3 linked regions of the Coturnix japonica genome follow. The protein of the gene in region 1 binds, or shares a complex with, the protein of each later gene. Links are inferred from orthologs where the notes say so. Each region holds a gene or a part of one and is shown in the gene's direction. Other genes may lie near its edges.

Region 1 (5,606 bases):
AGTAAAGTTTAAATGTAGTGGTTTCATTGATCTGGCCACCTCTCCATAGTCAGGACAGGTGTTCACTTTCTGTATCTGTTTCAGTAGCTGGTTTTCTCACGACGCAGCCTAGAACTAAATAAGATAGAGCTTCATGGGGCTAGAAAGAGTTTATTATAGTCCCACTTGTGAAGTTCTTGTGGTCTTATCAAGCCAAAGCAACAGATCTTTTAGAGGCATGGTAGTGAAGGAAAGAAGTTCTTTCAGGTAAGTTATGCTGCTTTTCAGTGGCTACAAACAGATGCTGGTACCCAGTAAATACTGACTAGAGCAGCTGACTTTTAGCACACTTTTCATAACAGTTGTTTCCTTTTCTGTTGTGGGATTTGAATGGTGAGATATATATTTATTCAAGACCTGATGCTGTGTTCTCTTGTAGTCATATCCATACAGTAGCTCTGGAGTTGTGTCAGGATTCCTCTATAAAATGAAACCTAGGAAACTGACTAAAAGGGAGCACTAGCAGTAGATTTGTTGTTTGTCGGTGCTGCTGAATATGCCTCTGTTGATAGGGAGTAACTGTGGTTATTAAGAGATCGTGTTTCTTTGCAGTTAGTGAGATTAACTTATATGCAGTTTTTATTGCATTCTTTACACAGAAAAAGCTGTTTTGATGGAAATGTTTGCATAAAATCTGAGTTGATATAATGCAGCTTAGGCTGGGGGTGCTCAAAATCATTTCATACACATAGGATTATGATCTTCTTGGTGAAAAAATCATGTCTTGTGGAATGGATCACTCTCTCAAACTTTGGAGAATTAATTCCAAGAGAATGATAAATGCCATCAAAGAGTCTTATGAGTACAACCCAAATAAAACAAACAGGTATGTAGTCTTCATCTTCTTGGCTTTCTGGGGTTCTTTTTAAAGATTTTAAAATAAAAACTCTCATCAATGGCCCAGATTCATTCCTGTAGACATTGGAAGTTCTTGGAGATAGTGACCTGGGGATTGTGCTTGACATTGAATCTCTTTTGAAGATCTCTCTTCTTGTTGTTTGCTTCAGTAGAACTTCATTAAATTTCATTAACATTCCTACCACTTTTATTTTTGAATATCTTAATTACATCTTCATTATTTACTTGAGTAGGGAACGTCTGGGTTTATCATCTTTATCAGTCTTAAAGCTTGTATTACATCATGTTTTAAGATGTGTCAGTGCCTTTTTTCTTCCCACTTCCAAATTTCTAGGAGGGAATCCAATTATTAAACGTAGTAAGCAATTGAGTTTTATATTGTGTAGTTATCTCTAATTATTGAATTTGTTATCTGTCTCAGGGGCTGGAAAAAGACAACTCCTTATGTAGTATTAACTTTAATTTTTGTCATTGTCCTATCTGACTTCAGATTCACATAAATTGTCAGTTAAATACAGTGGTTAGTTATATGATAGATAAATTTCTCCTGACGAAGTTCATCAACTCTTTAATCTTAACTTCCAGTTAAACCATTGAGAGAATTGAAGAGTCTAAAACACACTGAACGTGTTCAGCAATGAGACTAGCTGTGAAAATGCTCTCGCTTTTTTTGGTAATGTTACCAAATATTAAATGATGCTTAAAAAAAAAAAAAAAGTAAAAATATTTCTTTTTTTTTATTGTGCTTTTCTGTTTAACAGTCTAGATGTTGCAAAATAAGCATCAGGAAGGTGGAGGTTTAATTAGTTCTTGAGGTACTTAGCAATGGGAGCTGTGCGCAGTTTCTGAAGGAGTGGTATTGCTTTGGTACAGTCTTTTATAATCAAGCATTTGGGAAAGTAAATTATTTCAGTAGAAATGAGATGAAAATGGACAGTTCCCATTTTAGGGGACAAAATCTACTTTGCAGCAAAACTGTTAAAAGATCAAAAAAGACAGACCTGTCCTTTTATCATTGAAATATATTAAAACTGGTCATTGAAAATTAGGCTTGTATTTCAGTGTTTCCCTGAATCTTACATGGCTGTTTTTTTTCCATAGACCTTTTATTTCCCAGAAAATCCACTTTCCTGACTTTTCTACAAGAGACATACATAGGAACTATGTTGACTGTGTACGATGGTTGGGTGACCTAATTCTTTCCAAGGTAAAGTGCAAGCTTTTTCAGCTACCTTGCTTTTATTTGCTTTTTTAGGCTCTTAAACAGTAGTAGTTTCACTAGAATACGAATTGTAGGTTAACTTATTATGCTGCATGAAATGATTTTATGTTAAAGATTTTGGTGTCTGTTTGCATGTGTAGATAAGCAGCTTTTACATCAAAAGTAAAATGAGTTCAGTGGTCAGAACTGTGCTAGAAGTAGCAACATGTCAACTACCCGTGTTCTGCATGAGGAGTACAGAAAGAGAATGAATATATAGTTACTCATGTAGGGTCCTGCAGCTGAAAGGAGAAATGAGGATTCATGCAATGGAGTTCCTTGGATTTGTGTGATAACACTAGCACTGCTTGCTCGGAGACATTAAACTACATGGTGGCATTGCATCTTTGGCAGAAATTGGTGCATGTGTGTTCTCCTAAAACTGAATGTTGTACGCTTTTTGTTGTTGTTCATTGTTTTTTTTTGGTTTTTTTTTTTCCTCCCTAGTCTTGTGAAAATGCCATTGTGTGCTGGAAACCTGGCAAAATGGAAGATGATATAGATAAAATCAAGCCAAGTGAGTCAAATGTGACCATACTTGGGAGATTCGATTACAGCCAGTGTGATATATGGTACATGAGGTTTTCAATGGATTTCTGGCAAAAGGTATGTGTGAGCTTGGACCTTGCTGTCCCTGAAGGTGTGTAGCCCTTCATTTATTCCATGTTTCTGTGTATGGGAAGTTTTGGTACCTGTGATGTGGTGTCTGAGTAGCAGAATGGTCTGCTGCAAGTGGTTTTATGGGAAACTGTTACGTTTATTGGTATCTTCCTCCTCTATCTGCAGAGGTAGATAACAATAATATGGGAGAAAGTAAGCAAATTATTTAGGATTTCCAACCACTTCATCAAACTTGTTAAGCAATTAATGTTCAAACATGTAAACATAACTGTAGAGTCTTCATTAAAGTTTGAGTTTTATGAGTTTCATGTCTTTTGAATAATACTGTAAGACTTCTCTATCCTCTGCTTTCTTTTTAAGATGCTTGCTCTTGGCAATCAGGTTGGCAAACTTTACGTTTGGGATTTAGAAATAGAGGATCCTCATAAAGCCAAGTGAGTACTTAATGCTCAGTTTTCTTTTTGTTGAGACAGGAATTTGGGGAACTTTCCTCTTTCTTTTACTGATAACTACTGATATTCTTAAACAGTGGTAGCCACTCTTACTACTAGGTAATTAAATGTTCTGAGCCCCTGGAGGTTACTTATTTGCTCTTCCATTCTATTATTCACATTACAATAGTGCCAAGAGGTACCAATCAAATTGTGTTGAGCAGTGTATGAAGATAAAGTGAAAGGATGCATCTTCCTCCAGTTGCTTGCACACTGATTAGGTAGATTTATGGAGCAATTAGGAGGAATAGATGGAAGGACTAGAGTAATGAGGGTACAAAGGTTAGCTATGAGCACAACCTGAAGGAAACAATATGGCTTTTCAGTTTCTTGCCTGCGTGGCCAGGTAATTTTATTGCATGTTTGAACACATGTACAGTATATTTGTGTACATCCAGTAATGCCTGTGTGTGCATATGTGAAAATACAGACACTCATATACAAAATTGCTGAAAAAAGCTGCAGTCTTGAATTGCCCAGTGGCCATATTTTACTCCAAACAACTGGAAAAGAACATTGATTACAAAGTCCTAAATAACACAGTTCAATAAGATTTTAATCAGTGCTTCTGTGAAAATTGGGTGGATGAGAATTGGCAGTGGGTGAACCAGACATCAGTGCTTTCCCAAGTCCAAATTTGGAATACAGAATACACTGTGATATAATCCTGCTACCTTCTGAATTCAAGGTCGCATAAGTATTTGGTGAAACAGCACTCCATAATGTAGTAGCAGCAAGTGCAGGTTTAACATTGCAGCTGAATAATTTTCTTTTATTTATAGGTGTACGACTCTTACTCATCCTAAATGTGTTGCTGCCATTCGACAAACCAGTTTTAGCAGGGATAGTAGTATCCTTATAGCTGTGTGTGATGATGCCAGTATCTGGCGCTGGGACAGACTACGATAAGTTACTTTTTCTTAATTCAAAGTAGAAAATATATATTTTCAGATTATAATATAGTCTGTTAACTTGCTAGTACAGTAGATGCGTTTAGCGTAGACTTTTCTCAAAGGTTCAGCAGGCTGGAGCTGAACTTAGTGATGTTTACATTCTGTGTATTGTTCTGCTTGAACTTTTGCTGCTTTCAATAAAAAGAAGTATTTTTGTAAAGTTTTCTGAATTGTCCATTTTAATTATTTACCTCAATAAGCTTTTGGTTATGGCCCATGGAATTGCTCTACGTACAGCTAGTGTGTAAATACGTAGTAACTTGCTTGACACTTTGTGTGTGTGCTTGAAGCTCTATTCATCCTTTTTTATGCTGACTAGAAACGTAGTGAAGCTATTGAATATCATCCAGGGATAAAACATTTGTGTGTGCATAATTGAAACGTTAATGCTTGTGTGCTGTGTAAGTAGTCTAAGATGTTGCAGAATAATTGTGTGAACAGTGGGACTGTTTAGTAACTGTATTTACTAAAGATTAACCATCTAGGGCTCCTTTTTCCTACTGTTCTCTTATCCTTTACCCTAACATTTTAATGGAAAAGAATACATTAGGGTATTACATACATATAAGTACAGTCTTTGGCAACATATTAGTGCTTTTTTTTTATTGAATTAAGGAGATAAATAGTTCTGTCTCCTACTGACTTTTCAAGAATATACTGATCTGGATTTTATCTTTCAGGATATTGCATTTGCCTCTGCGTTCCAGTTTGGGAAGCTCATAAATTCTCTGTGTAGGTGGCCTACCTGTTCAGCTTGAAATGGTATTGACTAAGCTTGTACTTAGAAATTGGCAGAACAATGAGACCTGGAGCTGGCAAGTAGTTTGCAAGCGTTAGTCTGTAACATATGATTAATTCCCCCTTATAGAAAAGAAAAAATATATATATATTGTTCTTATTCCTGGAGAACAGATGTAATACCTTTGTAGCAAAATAAACTGATGAGGGGAAAGATGACAAGTGAGACTGGAGGTTTTAATCTCTAGTTCATCTGAACTGCTAGCACAGCATGAACTAGCACTTAGGTGGCAGCAGCAGTGTGGGCCTGTGTATCTCATGTGTGTGGGCCTGGTAGTGTGAAAAGCTGTAGGAGAGGAGAATTGAGTTGGAGAGGACTCCAAAAAGGCTGTGGGAATACTCAGGCTTTCTCCGGATGAGCTAAACCCTATTCAGAACATAATGTTGGAAACTGATAGCATTGAGTGTTTGCAAATGTTGAAAGTGAAAAAGGACACAAAAGCAGTTGTGACTTTCAACGGTGGTTGTTTGTTATATTTTAAGTTGCATGTTCTTACCAATGAGCTATTCTGTTTTTGACAGGAAGGAAAGGTGGTACTTAAATAAAGCCCTAAATACAATTAGGGGTGGCTTCAGCTTTAATCA
Region 2 (6,273 bases), on another chromosome or scaffold:
GGTGTGGGCATGGCACACCACCCTGGTAGCTACTCTGCTGTGGCCTGTGCAGGCTGGCCGTGTGCTGTGGGCCGGCACAGCGGCTGTGCACTGGCACAGTTGTGGCAGCAAGGGCAGCCCACGTGCCCCCAGCGCCCAGTCCCCTGGCCCTGGCACGCTCCCTGCCCAGGGCACAGCTGCCATCCAGACCGGGTCCCCTCAGACGCTCCATCGCTGCCCACCAAGGGGAAGGGGCCGCCCACAGTGCCCGGTGGTGCTGGATGGCTGCCGTAGCACTGTGTCCCGCTCACCCAGCACAAGTCCTGCCTTGACCGGGGTGCAGCCGCGTGCTGTGGGGCCGAGCACTTACCGCAGAGCAGCAGGAGCCCTCGGGAGAGGCAGCCAGAGCCCATCTGCGCATACGGTGCCATCCTGCTGGAGCCTGCGGGCTAGCGACCGGGACAAGGATTTCAATGGAAATAACAGGAAGCAACTCCTTTCCTCTGACAGGGGCTGTTTGAACTACAGGAGACGTGTGAAAAATGAGATTACTTAGTGCTGCTCTGAGGCAGCCCTCCCCACAGGACCCCACCGCTGTGCAGCAAGTGTCGGACCCCCGGGCATCGCCCCACACCTCACCCTGGGCAGCAGAGGGGCTCCCGCAGCACGGCCGCTTCACAAGGCCGCTGTTTGTTTACTTGTGTATTTCTCTTTAATCCTGTCTGGGCTGGGTTGTGAAATCCCTCGTCTCCTGCGTGGAGGGCAGGCAGCCCGGCAGCGGGGGGAGTGGACGGTGGAGCAGGACGTCCCCGGAGGGTTCTGCTGGAGGCTCGGGGTCGTTACGGCCCCAGCCCCGTGTTCATGGCGCCGTGTGGCACCTGCCCCGGGGGCACGGGTGGGGCTGGAAGGGACGGCGGCGGTACCACGGGTGTGCGAGCCTCAAGCAGGCAGGAGGAGAGGATGGGGCGAGGGACTGTGGCTGCAGAGCTCCTCTTCATCCCGTGCCACCTCGGCTCCCACCTCAGGGCAGCGCGGTGCTGGCTCTGCAGGGTCCCCACCCGGGGATGGAGCTCAGGCCACGCGAGCTCATCTAACTGCTTGCCAAAGGCTGAGCTCCAGCCCAAAGCTTTCCCTTTAAAATCCACTCATGGGACTCACAGAGCACAAATCACACAGCAGAGAATTGCAGTTCATGGGGACCCTCCCTGCTTTGGAAGGATTCTATTGCTGTGCTGCACATTCCTGCTGCAACACACTGCACGTGCTATGTGCAGGCTGAGGCAGCCGCCACCCTCCTGGCACTTGGGAGCCCTTCAGCGGTACCGGGAGCCCACGAGGCTGCGGCACAAAGTCACAGCCCCATTCTGCACTTTGTTGTCACAGCCCTGGAGCTGCAGCCGGCAGCAGGAGCCTCTGCCAGGGTGACACCCGGTGATCTCAGCCGGCCACTCCTTGCACAGCCGGGGCAGTCTGCCAGCACCCACTGCTCCCCAGCCCCATTTTGCAAGCTCCCCCCAGCCCTTGGCTGCAGTGCTGTGAGGGGGACTCGACTGAGCAGCGGGGGAAGCATTTCCCATGTTCTGGGCTGGGCTGCAGCCGTCCCGAGCCCTGCTGCCAGCCTCGGCCCATGGCACAACGGGCACAGACGCAGCCTGGACCCCGCCTGCTGCTTTGACTCGCTCTGCAGCTGCCCACGTTGCGCTCTGGGGCTCAGCGCAGTGTGGGCAGTGAGGCTGCGGGGGTTGCGCTGGGTCCAACCCAGACCCCAGGTTCTGCCGGTAGTGGGAGCAGGAGCCGCAGCCCCGACGAGCATCTTCCCACCGGCTGCAGCTTCCCCCCGTGCCGGGGCGTATCACCGAGCTCATCTCGGCACCTTCCACCCGCGCTCAACCCAATGTCAGGGAAGGCGGAAGGTTCTGCCCGACTCAGCAGGACGGGCTCAAAGGCAGCAGATACGGCCAGGACCGGGGCTGAGCTGTGGGATGAGCAGCCAACGGCCCCGCTCACTGCCCGGACAGGGACCCGCGGGTTCCCCCCGCTCCTTCCGGCTGGGCGGAGGGGAAGGAAGGAAGGAAGGAAGGAAGGAAGGAAGGAAGGAAGGAAGGGGCCCGGCCGGGAGCGCGGCTGGGGAAGGGAGCGCCCGGCCGCAGCCCCGAGCAGAGCGGGGCCGGGCGGAGCCGAGTGGAGCCGGGCGGGGCCGGGCCGCGAGCGGCCGGTTCCGGTGCGGGGCGCCGCCCTTCCCGGTCGGAGCCGCAGCTCCGGGGCTGCACCGCGCGGGGCGGGGCGGCGGCGAGGGGCGGGGCTACGGCGGCGCATGCGCAGTGCGCGGGGAGCGCGGCCTCCCCCGGCGCGATGGCCGAGGAGTGAGTGCGGGGCGGGGCGGGGCCTGGGGTCCGGCGGGGGGCGGGGGGCGGCCCGGCACGGCGGGAGGGGCCCGGGAGGGAGCGAGGGGTCGGCGGGGGTGGGGGATGGAGCGGGGCGGTAGTGCCGTGGTAGTGCCGTGGTAGTGCCGTGGTAGTGCCGTGCCCTGTGGGGGCTGGCGGCTGCTCGTAGGGGGCAGATCTAAGTCCCCTGAGGCCCCGTGGGGCCCCGTGGGACCGTGGGCTGTTGTATGGGGTGCGCCGGGCCCGATGGACGGGGCAGCGCCCGGGGGTTGGGTGAGGCCTGGGAGCGGGCACCGGGCGGGGCAGCGGCTGAGGCCTGTCCCGGACACTCCGCAGTGTCACCGTCCCGGCAGCCACCGGGGGTCCCCGTGTCCCCTCGTGGCTGGAGGCTGCGGTGATGGGGGCCCAGGGAACCCCCGTGGGTGGAGTGGAGCGGCCCGCTGGGTACGTACAGCCCGGGCCGGGGACTCAGACTCCTGGATGGGAGCTGAAGCGTCCCTTGGGCTCACAGGGCGATGCCCGATGCCCAAACCCCCGGCTCCAACTTCTCCATCAGGTCGCACTGTGTATTCCCAGCCAGGAGCTGTCCTGTGCTGACAGCCTGCGCAATGTCCTTCCCAGCCTCCTGGCAATGAGATATTCTGAGCTGGATGTAACACTGCTCCTGACATGTTGGCCTCCCAGCGCCCTGTGAATCGAAAGATTACAAGCAGGAAGGAGAGCTGCTTGGACAGCGACAAGACAAGGGGGACTGTCCATAAGCTATAGAGGGCAGGCTTAAGTCAGATGTGAGGAAGCAATTCACTCCTCAGAGGTGGTGAGGTCCTGGCACTACTGCCCAGAGAGCTGTAGGTGCCCAAGGCCAGGCTGGGTGGGGCCCTTGAGCAGCCTGAGCTGGTGGGGGCACCCAGCTCATGGCAGGGGATGAGGCTGGAGGGGCTTTAAGGTCACTTCTAACTCATCGTTCTGTGAGTTTATTCTTACTGTATTTTCATAGAAAAATGGAAATCGCCACTCCTCCAACATCAAAGTGTATTATGTATTGGAAAAGAAAAGTCAAGTCTGAATATATGCGTCTCCGGCAGCTCAAGAGATTTCAGGCAAACATGGGAGCAAAGGTAAAGACACAGTGGCTCTGGTTGGAATGATCTCTGCTATAGACTTCAGTTTGCAGTATTGGAGCTTTTATCAGATGAGTGATGCATGATGAGAACTGTGAAGTGAGTGCTTCTTTCTCTCATTTCAGGCTCTATTTGTGGCCAACTTTGCAAAGGTTCATGAAAAGACTCAAATACTTAATGAAGACTGGAAGAAGCTTCGAGTTCAACCAGTGCAGTTAATGAAGCCAGTCAGCGGGCACCCCTTCCTAAAACAGGTAGGGAGAGCTGTGTTAGTATCAGTCTGTGCCTAGCACTCTTTCATGGTGCAGGGTAAAAACAGCTTTTACTGTCAAACACGGTGAGTGAACGCAGCCTTTGCTATGTTTGCCCTGAAGTGCTGTTTCTTTCTGTGATGGTGACAATCTCCCAGAGGCTGCTTCCTCACCGTCCTTCTCACTTCTACCCTAGTGTACAGTTGAGAGCATTTTTCCAGGATTTCCAAGCCAGACACTGTACATGAGGACGCTGAACACAGTGGCGCTGGTGCCTATCATGTACTCGTGGTCCCCCCTTCAGCAGAACTTCATGGTAGGTGGGAATACTCTCTGGTGCAAGGTCTTTGTGAGATTATTGTGTAACCGCAATGTCTGCTCAGGAAGACATGGTAGAAAGTTGTGTTGTGTGCTTTCCCTCCAAGCATGCAACACAACTTTCCCTTTTGCTCCCTGCTAAAACACTCCTCAGCTTCAGATGTATTCCTTCTAGAATGAATTGTCGTTTTGCCTCCTTCACTGTTCCAGTTTTACTCTCTTAATCACTACAACTTTGACATTTTTGGCTCTTCATTGTTCTTGGCAGTGTGTGTGTTTCTGTAACCTTTGGATACTGTTCTCTTCTTTTTAACATCAAATGCATTTTTTGAGGTTAGAGTTATTCTGATAGAATGGGATAGCAATGAAATGGCAGTGGTGAGACACATGAAATTTGAGCTGGGGAGGCTGAACATTTGCTTTATGCAGTGTTTTCTGCATGCAGTGGACGGGAGCAGCCTTAGAGACACAGCTTGGCTGGGAATTAGAAAGCGCTAGTTTACTGAATTGTATCTAATTGCTTTTCAGGTGGAGGATGAAACTGTTCTGTGCAACATCCCTTACATGGGAGATGAGGTGAAGGAAGAGGATGAAACCTTCATTGAAGAGCTTATTAATAACTATGATGGGAAAGTTCATGGAGAGGAAGGTAATTTGGGAGCAGAAACACTTAGCAGTTCAGTTTCTTGCAAGTAAGATATCAAAGTAGTTAAGAAATCACAAGATGGTAGCAGTAACCATCTTTTATCTGAGAGCACTAAGAGCAGAAAAGCAGAAATGCGTGCCTGCAGTTCTGGTTTATAAGGATGCACTCTTGGCTTTTGATCCCCCACTCTGTTCTAGACTCAGGATTAGGTGGAGTTCAGCACCGTCATTTCACTTGTGACCCTAGCCATGACTTGAAGCTTTTCAGAGACAAAAAGTCTGCATGCTTTCCTAGCTCATCATAAAACTGTGTAGAGGGTGGAGTGCAGCAAAAAATTCTGTTGTATGGGCTATCTTCAGGTCTCCAAAAGTGTTACAGCACTCTTAGGGCTCCAGAGCATTAAAACTCTACCCGTCCCTACAAAATCACCAGGAAAGTTTTTGTTTATAACTGTGTTGTGTGGCTGAAGAACATCAGTGGCCCTCCTACAGACTGACTGACATCACTGTATTTCAGAAATGATTTCAGGGTCAGTCCTCATCAGTGATGCTGTCTTCCTGGAGCTCGTGAATGCCCTGAATCAGTACTCAGATGAGGAAGAGGAAGGACACAATGATTCTGAAGTCAAACAGGAGGATGGGAAAGAGGAGCTGCCAGTCACAAGAAAAAGAAAACGAATTGCAGCGGAAGGTGGGTTTGGCTACAGAAATTAGTCGTGTGTTGGTCGTGTTTGCATCCTACTTTGCCTGAGGGAACACCAGAACTTCTTGCAGATGTAGAAAACTAATGTATGTAAATCCTGTCCAGGTAAAAATAAATGGTGATATTCCTTAAGAAATCAATATATTATCTACTCTGAAAGCAGTGGAGTACCATGTGGAAGTGCTTTAGCCTGCTTTCAAGACAATAGGTTATGTGTAATTGCATTTCTGTCTCTTAACCTGCAATCCAGAGCACCTGGAATCACTCTCAGGAAAAAGGCAAGTTCTATTCATGTGCAGCGTAACTGAGGAGTCATCTCTTTTTTTTCCGTAGGTAACAAGAAGTGTTCCAAGAAACGGTTTCCAAATGACATGATATTCACTGCCATTTCTTCTATGTTTCCTGAATATGGCTTCCCAGATGACATGAAAGAGAGGTAGATCTCTCCTTAAGTTGTTTGTTACTTTTGATAGGGGCAGTTAAAACGTGCATTTCAGAAAACAGCGCTGCGCATGTAGAGCTCACTTGGCTTCAGACACTCTGGGAAGGTCAATTTTTGAGTATTACAAACTTTGTTTTAGCTTAAAGATATCCAAACCAGAGTCATAAGATCTGTAGTCACGTGAAGTCCTGTTAAATGTCCCAAATTAGGAAAGCATACACATCTGTGGGTGTTTGTTGAATAGGTACCGAGAGCTCACAGAGGTGTCGGATCCGAACGTGCTGCCCCCGCAGTGCACTCCCAATATTGACGGGCCATGTGCAAAGTCAGTGCAGCGGGAGCAGTCCCTGCACTCCTTCCACACGCTCTTCTGCCGGCGCTGCTTCAAATACGACTGTTTTCTGCATCGTAAGTGCAGGCTCACTGGGTA
Region 3 (6,066 bases), on another chromosome or scaffold:
GTCAGTGTCCAGAGTGCACACAAGTTAAAACAGAGGAGTCAGCTAGAATGCAGATGCATGGTACTGAGTGATACGATGCTCTATAAAATGGGGAACAAACATAAATACAGCCATGGATCTACTGAAAAGATTTCTGTCACTCAATCTGGAGAAAAAGATTTGTTAGTTTGCAGTGACAGTAGGGTCTTGTTCTACATATAGTACAAAAGCCAGTACCAGACACAGCAACATCAGGATTTACAAACAGTTAGGAGTAATTTCCAAAGCATCTGTAGGGGGGGGGGGGGACACGTTTGTTTTGCTACCCTACTCTATTTGAGAAAAGCAAGGTAGGAGACGTACTATAACTTTTTGCTTAATGACTGACTTAAGAGATACATCAATGACCATTTTTGCCTCTTCTGTTTTCCTAAGAAGTCTCCAGGAGATAGAGACTCATCATTCTTAACTGCAGAAAACCTGAGATGGAAGTGCTTTGTTCTATATACGTCCCAGGCCTTCAAGCTACACGGATATCATCATAAAAATCAATGAGGGCAGAAAGTTGGAGAATACTAGGAGAATTTGTCATATTTTCTATTTAAATGAGCTATAGATCTCTCTTCATAAAGACTCTTGGACACAATGTGCATTTTCTTAGAGGAGGCCTACAGAAAAGTCTTCAAAAGATGAACACGATTACCATTAAGGCTTGACAACAGATGAGGCCGAGCACGGCTTAACTACTTTCTAAGAAGACTAAAAAAAATGTCTAAAGTAATTAGTAATACAAAGAAACAAAATGAAAATAAGGATATTTCCCTCTCTAATCTGCCCTATGAGGTCCCATCTAGAGTACTGTGTCCAGCACAAGAAAGATACTGAGCTGTTGGTGGTCCAGAGGAGGGCCAGGAAGATGATCCAAGGGCTGCAGGACTTCTATGAAGACAGGCTGAGGGAGCTGAGCATGGTCAGCTTGTAGAAGGCTGCAGTGAGGTCTTCCTGCAGCCTTCCAGCAGAACATAAAGCACACTTGGAAACCTGCATTTGGGGAGCAGGGATGAGCACCTGTAGTAGCACATAAACGTATTTAGAGTTATACACCAGCTGCGTTCCCTCACTTTGCACTGAGTTGCACTGCAAAGCACCAATAACACACAGCAGCTTTCCTAACACCTCACCAGGAAGCCATCGCTGCTCCCTCTATTCGCGATACCCCCTTCCCAAAGCTCTACGCCGTGTCTGAAGACACACGGTTCTCCTCGCGTCCAGTTCTCCCATAGCTTTTATTGACACTGCCGTTCCGACTCACACCCCATCGAACCACCCCGGCGGCAGCTGGACACACGGGGCCGGCGGCGATGAGCAAAGAGCCGGGGCAAAGAGACAGCGGTACCACAGCACGCTCGACCCCTCGGGCCTCTTTCAGCAGCCCAGACACATGAGTCCCGGCGGGCTCACACGGCGCCGAGCTGTCCTCCGCTCCCCTCCGGCAATAAACTTCCCTCCTCTTTCTCCACCTCCTCCTCCCGCACCCCCGAGAGCAGCAGGGAGGGAAGAAGGGAAGCAGGCACACAGGAGGGGGAAACCAAGTGCGGAAGGAGAGGAGGGGGGGCGTAGCAAGCACGCCGGGAGGTGTAGTTTTTGCCGGTCGCCATTTTGTGGTGAGGGAACTACAACTTTCCCGACAGCGAAGGGACCGTTCTCAGGCTCCAAGCCGAGCAACACCGGTCGAGCCGGGCCGGAGCGGGGGCTGGCAGCGCCGCACGGCCAAGGCTCGAGGAGAACGTAGCCGGGAGCCGAGCAGAGGGACAACCCCAGGCGGCAGGAGGCGGGGCGGGGCGGGGAGCGAGGAGGGCGGCCGCGCGGTGAGGGAGCGTCGCCAAGTTGCATTGGCGTTGCAGTGTATACACATAAGGCGGTGAGGGCGGCGTTGCGGTTAAAGCCCGGTTGGGAGTTGCGTGCGAGCCCTAAGCGCTGCCCGTCGGTGTGTGCGTGTGCGTGTGCCTGTCTGTGTGTATATATACACACGCGCGCGCACACGCAGACATATATATTAAAAAAAAAAAAAAAAAAAAAGGAAAAAAAAAAATAAAGCCTCAGGTCCATTTAAAGTTGCAGCCGGAGCGCAGCGCTCATTGGCTCGGGGGGAGCCGGAGGAGCACACGGGGCGAGCAGCCCGCACCGCGACGAGTTGTGCCGGCGCCGCCGCCGCAGCAGCAGCAGCAGCAGCAGCAGCAGCCCCGCCGCCGCCGCCGCCCGCCTCCCCGCGCCTCCTCCAAGATGTAAGGCGGCCCCGGCGCCACGGACCTGCAGGCGGAGGGAAGGGGAGAGCAAGGGCGTCGCTTTCCAGAGCCGAGAAAGGAAGGAGGAGGAAAAGGGGGGGTGGGGGGGGTTGTTTCGTCGTGACCATGTCTCGCTGAAGTGATTTTTGTATTATTACTATTTTTCCCTTCGCATCCGATTTTTTTTTTTTTTTTTCTTCTTTTTTTTTTCCATCCCCGCACCTCGGATTTATTGCTACGAGGATCACATTGTGCGGGGAAGAAAGTGGGATTACGGAGACCGCCGCGAGCAGCCCTCCCTCCTTCCCTCCCTCCCCCCTCCGAGGATTTTTCGGTATTTTATTTTCTATTTTATTTTATTATTTCTATTTTTTTTTCCGAATCGCCTCGGCCGTAATTCATGAAGCAATCGTCCCTTTTTGCGATCACAATTTGGATACCAGAATGAGCAAAGAAAGACCCAAGAGGAATATAATTCAAAAGAAATACGTAAGTCCCCGATCCCTTCTCCTTTCTCGCTTGACTCTCCGCGCTTTTAGGAAATGGCAGCGAACGTCAACTTCGGGGCCGGTGAAGGAGGGGGGGGGGGGGTGAGACGGCCGCGCTGGGCTCCGGGCAGCGCTGACCTCAGGTGACACAACACGGCGACGGGGAACGCCGACCCGCCGGGTCCCGTCGGATCCCGGAGGATCCCACGTTATTAACCCGCCTGCGGAACGGGGCGCTGCGGGAGGACCCGGCGTCGCCTTTTTAATGCGGCCGCCGATTGTCTCCGCCGGGCACACGGGGATGTCCGCGGCCCCGCTGCGTTCGGGAGCGGCCCAGCATCCAGCGCAGCGGCAGCGCGGCCCCAAAAAGCCCCACGGCCCTAAAAAGCCCCACGGCCCCCGGTGTGGGGCAGCAGGGTCCGCGTGTATGTCTGTGTAGTGGCACGGCAAAAGTTGCGCTCCCGCAGCGCGGCCCCGGGTGCCTCCCCGGGACCCCCCCCCTCCTCCAGCAGCCCGGGGCCGGCGGTCGAGGCGAAGACATCCGCATTGCGGAGGGAGCGGGGCTGCCCCCGCCGCCGGCTGCGGGACACGGGGCGGACAAAGCGGAGCGGGGCGGGGGGTGCTCCGGATCCCGGCCCGAAGGGCACACGGGGCGTTGGGGGCAGCGCGGTGTGTGCGTGCTCTCAACTTGCAACTTCTCTCCTGCAAGCCAAATCATTCCTTTTTTTCCTCCCAGTTTATTTATTTATTCCCCCCCACTCCCACTTTTTTATCCTTTGATTTCCTCCCCTTTCATTTTCACGTTTCCCTTTCATTTCCACACGTATTTCCCCGTGTGTATTTTTTTTTTTTTTCTCCTTTTATTGACATCCCCGCTGCGGGGCGGGCGGGCGCTCAGCCGCCGGCAGCAACCTGTTGCCGGGGCTGTGACGAAGCCCCACGGCTGTCGGCCACGCCGCAGCCGCCTCCTCCTCCTTCCTCCTTCTCCTCCTCCTCCTCGCCGCCGCCGCCCGGCCAGGTTCGCCCCGCGGCCGTGTCGTCACAAAGGGAAGGGCCTACGCGCCGTGGAAGCTTCGTCGGCTCAGCGTTCCGTCGTGACGTCGTAGCCGAGGCGGGGCGGGGGAGATGGGGGAAGGCCCCGGGGCGGCGCGGGGTGGGGGCGGCCCCAGGTGTGAGCAGGTGCGGGGATGTACGGAGTCATCCTGCCCGGCCGGCTTAGCACCGCGTGGGGACGAGCTCCAGGCCGTCAGGTGCCACGCAGGGGTTTTTGTTGTCTGCAGGTGGCTGCCAGCCCACCCTGCCCTACCCGAGTCCAGGCACAAGCCGTGGAGCCCTTGGTGTGGGGTGGCTGTGGAGCAGAGCACTAACCCACACTGATAGAGCAGGGGACCATTCTGGGGTATGTAAACCCCCCCCTCCCCCAGCTCCACTCAATGCAGCTCCATCGCATGGCATGCCCTGTTCTACCAGGACCTTTGGGTAGTGTCATGCTGCTGCCCTTTTTGAGCATAGCCTTCTCAGGTCTGTGGTGTGTGCGAAGCGAATCCCCAAAGCAGAAAGATGATGAGAAAAATGGGGTGATTTGCCATCCTCACTCACTGCGGTTATGAGAAGTTCCCCTGCTTTGCCATGAGGGGTTATGAGAAGTTCCCCAAAACTCTGCGTGGCCCTCCCAGCTGATAACCCATGAATGTGGAAATGTGTGAATGCTTCTTTTCTGTTGTTATTTTTTCCTCTTTTTTCTGCTCCTTAAAAACACGATCGTTCTGCTTTTAAAAGAGCTGTGGCTGACTCATTCACATCTTGCTTCATCCTCCTCCTTCTCAAACATCTTTACATATCAAATATTGCCTTTTGGCTCCAGCCTCAGAAAGCTGACAGCTTTGTAAAGCATCACCTGAGAAGCCAGACTGCATTTGGTATGCGCTCAGAATTAATAGTTCTTAAACGGGAAGCTTTGAAGTCTCGACTGTAATTTCACAGGTGTGTGTTTTTTGTGCTGTCACAGAGCGCATCGTCTGTTCTTCCCTCCCTGGGCCTCTGCGCATTGAGGTCTGGATGACTGTCCCAACCTGCCTGCCCGGCTCTGCCAGGGGAACAGATGGCAGAATGCCACTGAGGAGAGGTATCCTGACTATCCCCTTGTGTACCTCCCCCTCATCCCTTCTGAGGTGTTGCGTGGTGATGCACGTAGCCTTGGTGTGGCCTATAAGCAGAGCCACCTATCTGCCTACTTGAGGTGGGGCGAGCACTGCCTGCCTCACATAGTGCTTGATAAATCGTTCATAGCTGTGTCCTTAGGGTCCTGTGAGCGGCACCCTCGCTGGTTATATCCAACATGAAGCCAAGTGGCACTGCTGGGCCCTGGCACTGGGGCGTGGGGTCCCCTTGGAGCTGGAGCACAGTGACCACGTGGCAGCAACCCCAAGCAGGGGATGTATGTGTGCCCCAGGGCTTCCCTGTGGTGTGGGGTTCTCTTGTTTCCCACAGCCTGCAGCGCCTGCCTCACACCAACATGAGTTCTGAGTGAGGCCATTTCCTACAAGAAATGACATAAATCCACCTCTGAGTGTGGGTAGAAGCATCCTGGTTCAGTGTGCATTGTGTTTTGTTTCAGTAACTTTAAGAAGCCTTTTTGTTTTTGGGCTGACAGACAGCCCCAGCACTGCACCCCTTCCAGCACTGTAGCACACTGAACTCATTTCTTTTTAGATACGTGTGTATCTTGAGCTCACGGTGTGTGGATGCTGGCCACTGTCGAGATCCGAGTTTGCATTCCTCTTAACCTCCTGCTGGCCTCTTGAGACTAAAGCATTATGTTGTGCATGACAGCACGTAACCAGAAAACTAGTAATTCCAAGTTGTTTTTTTTGTTTTTAATTTATAGCAAACGTTTACATTTAGCTGTCAACAAACGCTCTGCACTGAAATACCCAATAGGATCCTGTTTGCTCTGACAGACTGTGAGCCAGGAGATGCTGTCCAGAGTGAATTATAGCGAATCAAGGCCCCTGTGAAGACTTTCTAATGTTCATTAAGCACTCTCACCTTCTCTTATGAGGCCTACTAAGCCAGTATTAAAAATATATTACCCATACCCTTCCTGTAGATGTAGAATAACTGTTAATGCGGTGCACGTTAAAGGGTGGTATGAACGTCAGCTCATTTTGCAGTGTAGCCGAGTTCCCTCCATTTTATTGTTTGATGAAACAGAAAGAGGTCTAAATTACTTGCCTGCAGCTATGAGCTGTAACAGCGGCAGCGATGGAACTGATCTCCTTCTGCAGCCTGGTCCAATATTGTCTCGTGTAGCT

Evidence for each region. Proteins that work in one complex are often made in the same cells at the same time.
Region 2: the proteins of EED (region 1) and EZH1 are in contact, whole or in part, in a cryo-EM structure (PDB 7KTP), measured with the Homo sapiens proteins. The link is inferred for Coturnix japonica from reciprocal best matches to the Homo sapiens genes EED and EZH1. Residues at the interface, in NP_003788.2 of Homo sapiens: Cys84, Val85, Asn86, Ser87, Leu88, Lys89, Glu90, Asp91, Trp103, His104, Ser105, Lys106, Glu107, Val112, Arg120, Leu123, Tyr124, Gln129, Gly130, Glu131, Ile132, Arg133, Leu134, Leu135, Gln136, Ser137, Tyr138, Val139, Asp140, Tyr154; in NP_001982.2 of Homo sapiens: Gly37, Ala38, Lys39, Leu41, Tyr42, Val43, Asn45, Phe46, Lys48, Val49, Gln50, Lys52, Thr53, Gln54, Leu56, Asn57, Glu59, Trp60, Leu63, Arg64, Val65, Gln66, Pro67, Val68, Gln69, Ser70, Met71, Cys83, Thr84, Ile85.
Region 3: the proteins of EED (region 1) and JARID2 are in contact, whole or in part, in a cryo-EM structure (PDB 6C23), measured with the Homo sapiens proteins. The link is inferred for Coturnix japonica from reciprocal best matches to the Homo sapiens genes EED and JARID2. Residues at the interface, in NP_003788.2 of Homo sapiens: Pro95, Phe97, Tyr148, Arg306, Asn307, Tyr308, Cys324, Asp362, Ile363, Trp364, Tyr365, Arg414, Asp430; in NP_004964.2 of Homo sapiens: Pro109, Gln114, Arg115, Lys116, Phe117.

Annotation. Positions count from the first base shown.
Region 1 is NC_029516.1:170,408,245-170,413,850, forward strand, and holds the end of EED (polycomb protein EED), read left to right. Parts: intron 1-731; coding exon 732-865; intron 866-1,998; coding exon 1,999-2,104; intron 2,105-2,605; coding exon 2,606-2,764; intron 2,765-3,139; coding exon 3,140-3,213; intron 3,214-4,052; coding exon 4,053-4,179; 3' UTR 4,180-4,389; downstream 4,390-5,606. UniProt on the Homo sapiens protein: Polycomb group (PcG) protein. Component of the PRC2/EED-EZH2 complex, which methylates 'Lys-9' and 'Lys-27' of histone H3, leading to transcriptional repression of the affected target gene.
Region 2 is NC_029542.1:4,628,822-4,635,094, reverse strand, and holds the start of EZH1 (histone-lysine N-methyltransferase EZH1), read left to right. Parts: upstream 1-2,479; 5' UTR 2,480-2,760; coding exon 2,761-2,807; intron 2,808-3,360; coding exon 3,361-3,481; intron 3,482-3,609; coding exon 3,610-3,738; intron 3,739-3,931; coding exon 3,932-4,051; intron 4,052-4,581; coding exon 4,582-4,702; intron 4,703-5,215; coding exon 5,216-5,389; intron 5,390-5,734; coding exon 5,735-5,837; intron 5,838-6,087; coding exon 6,088-6,251; intron 6,252-6,273. Other genes in the region: RAMP2 (receptor activity-modifying protein 2), read right to left, coding at 350-410.
Region 3 is NC_029517.1:67,903,997-67,910,062, reverse strand, and holds the start of JARID2 (protein Jumonji), read left to right. Parts: upstream 1-2,272; 5' UTR 2,273-2,753; intron 2,754-6,066.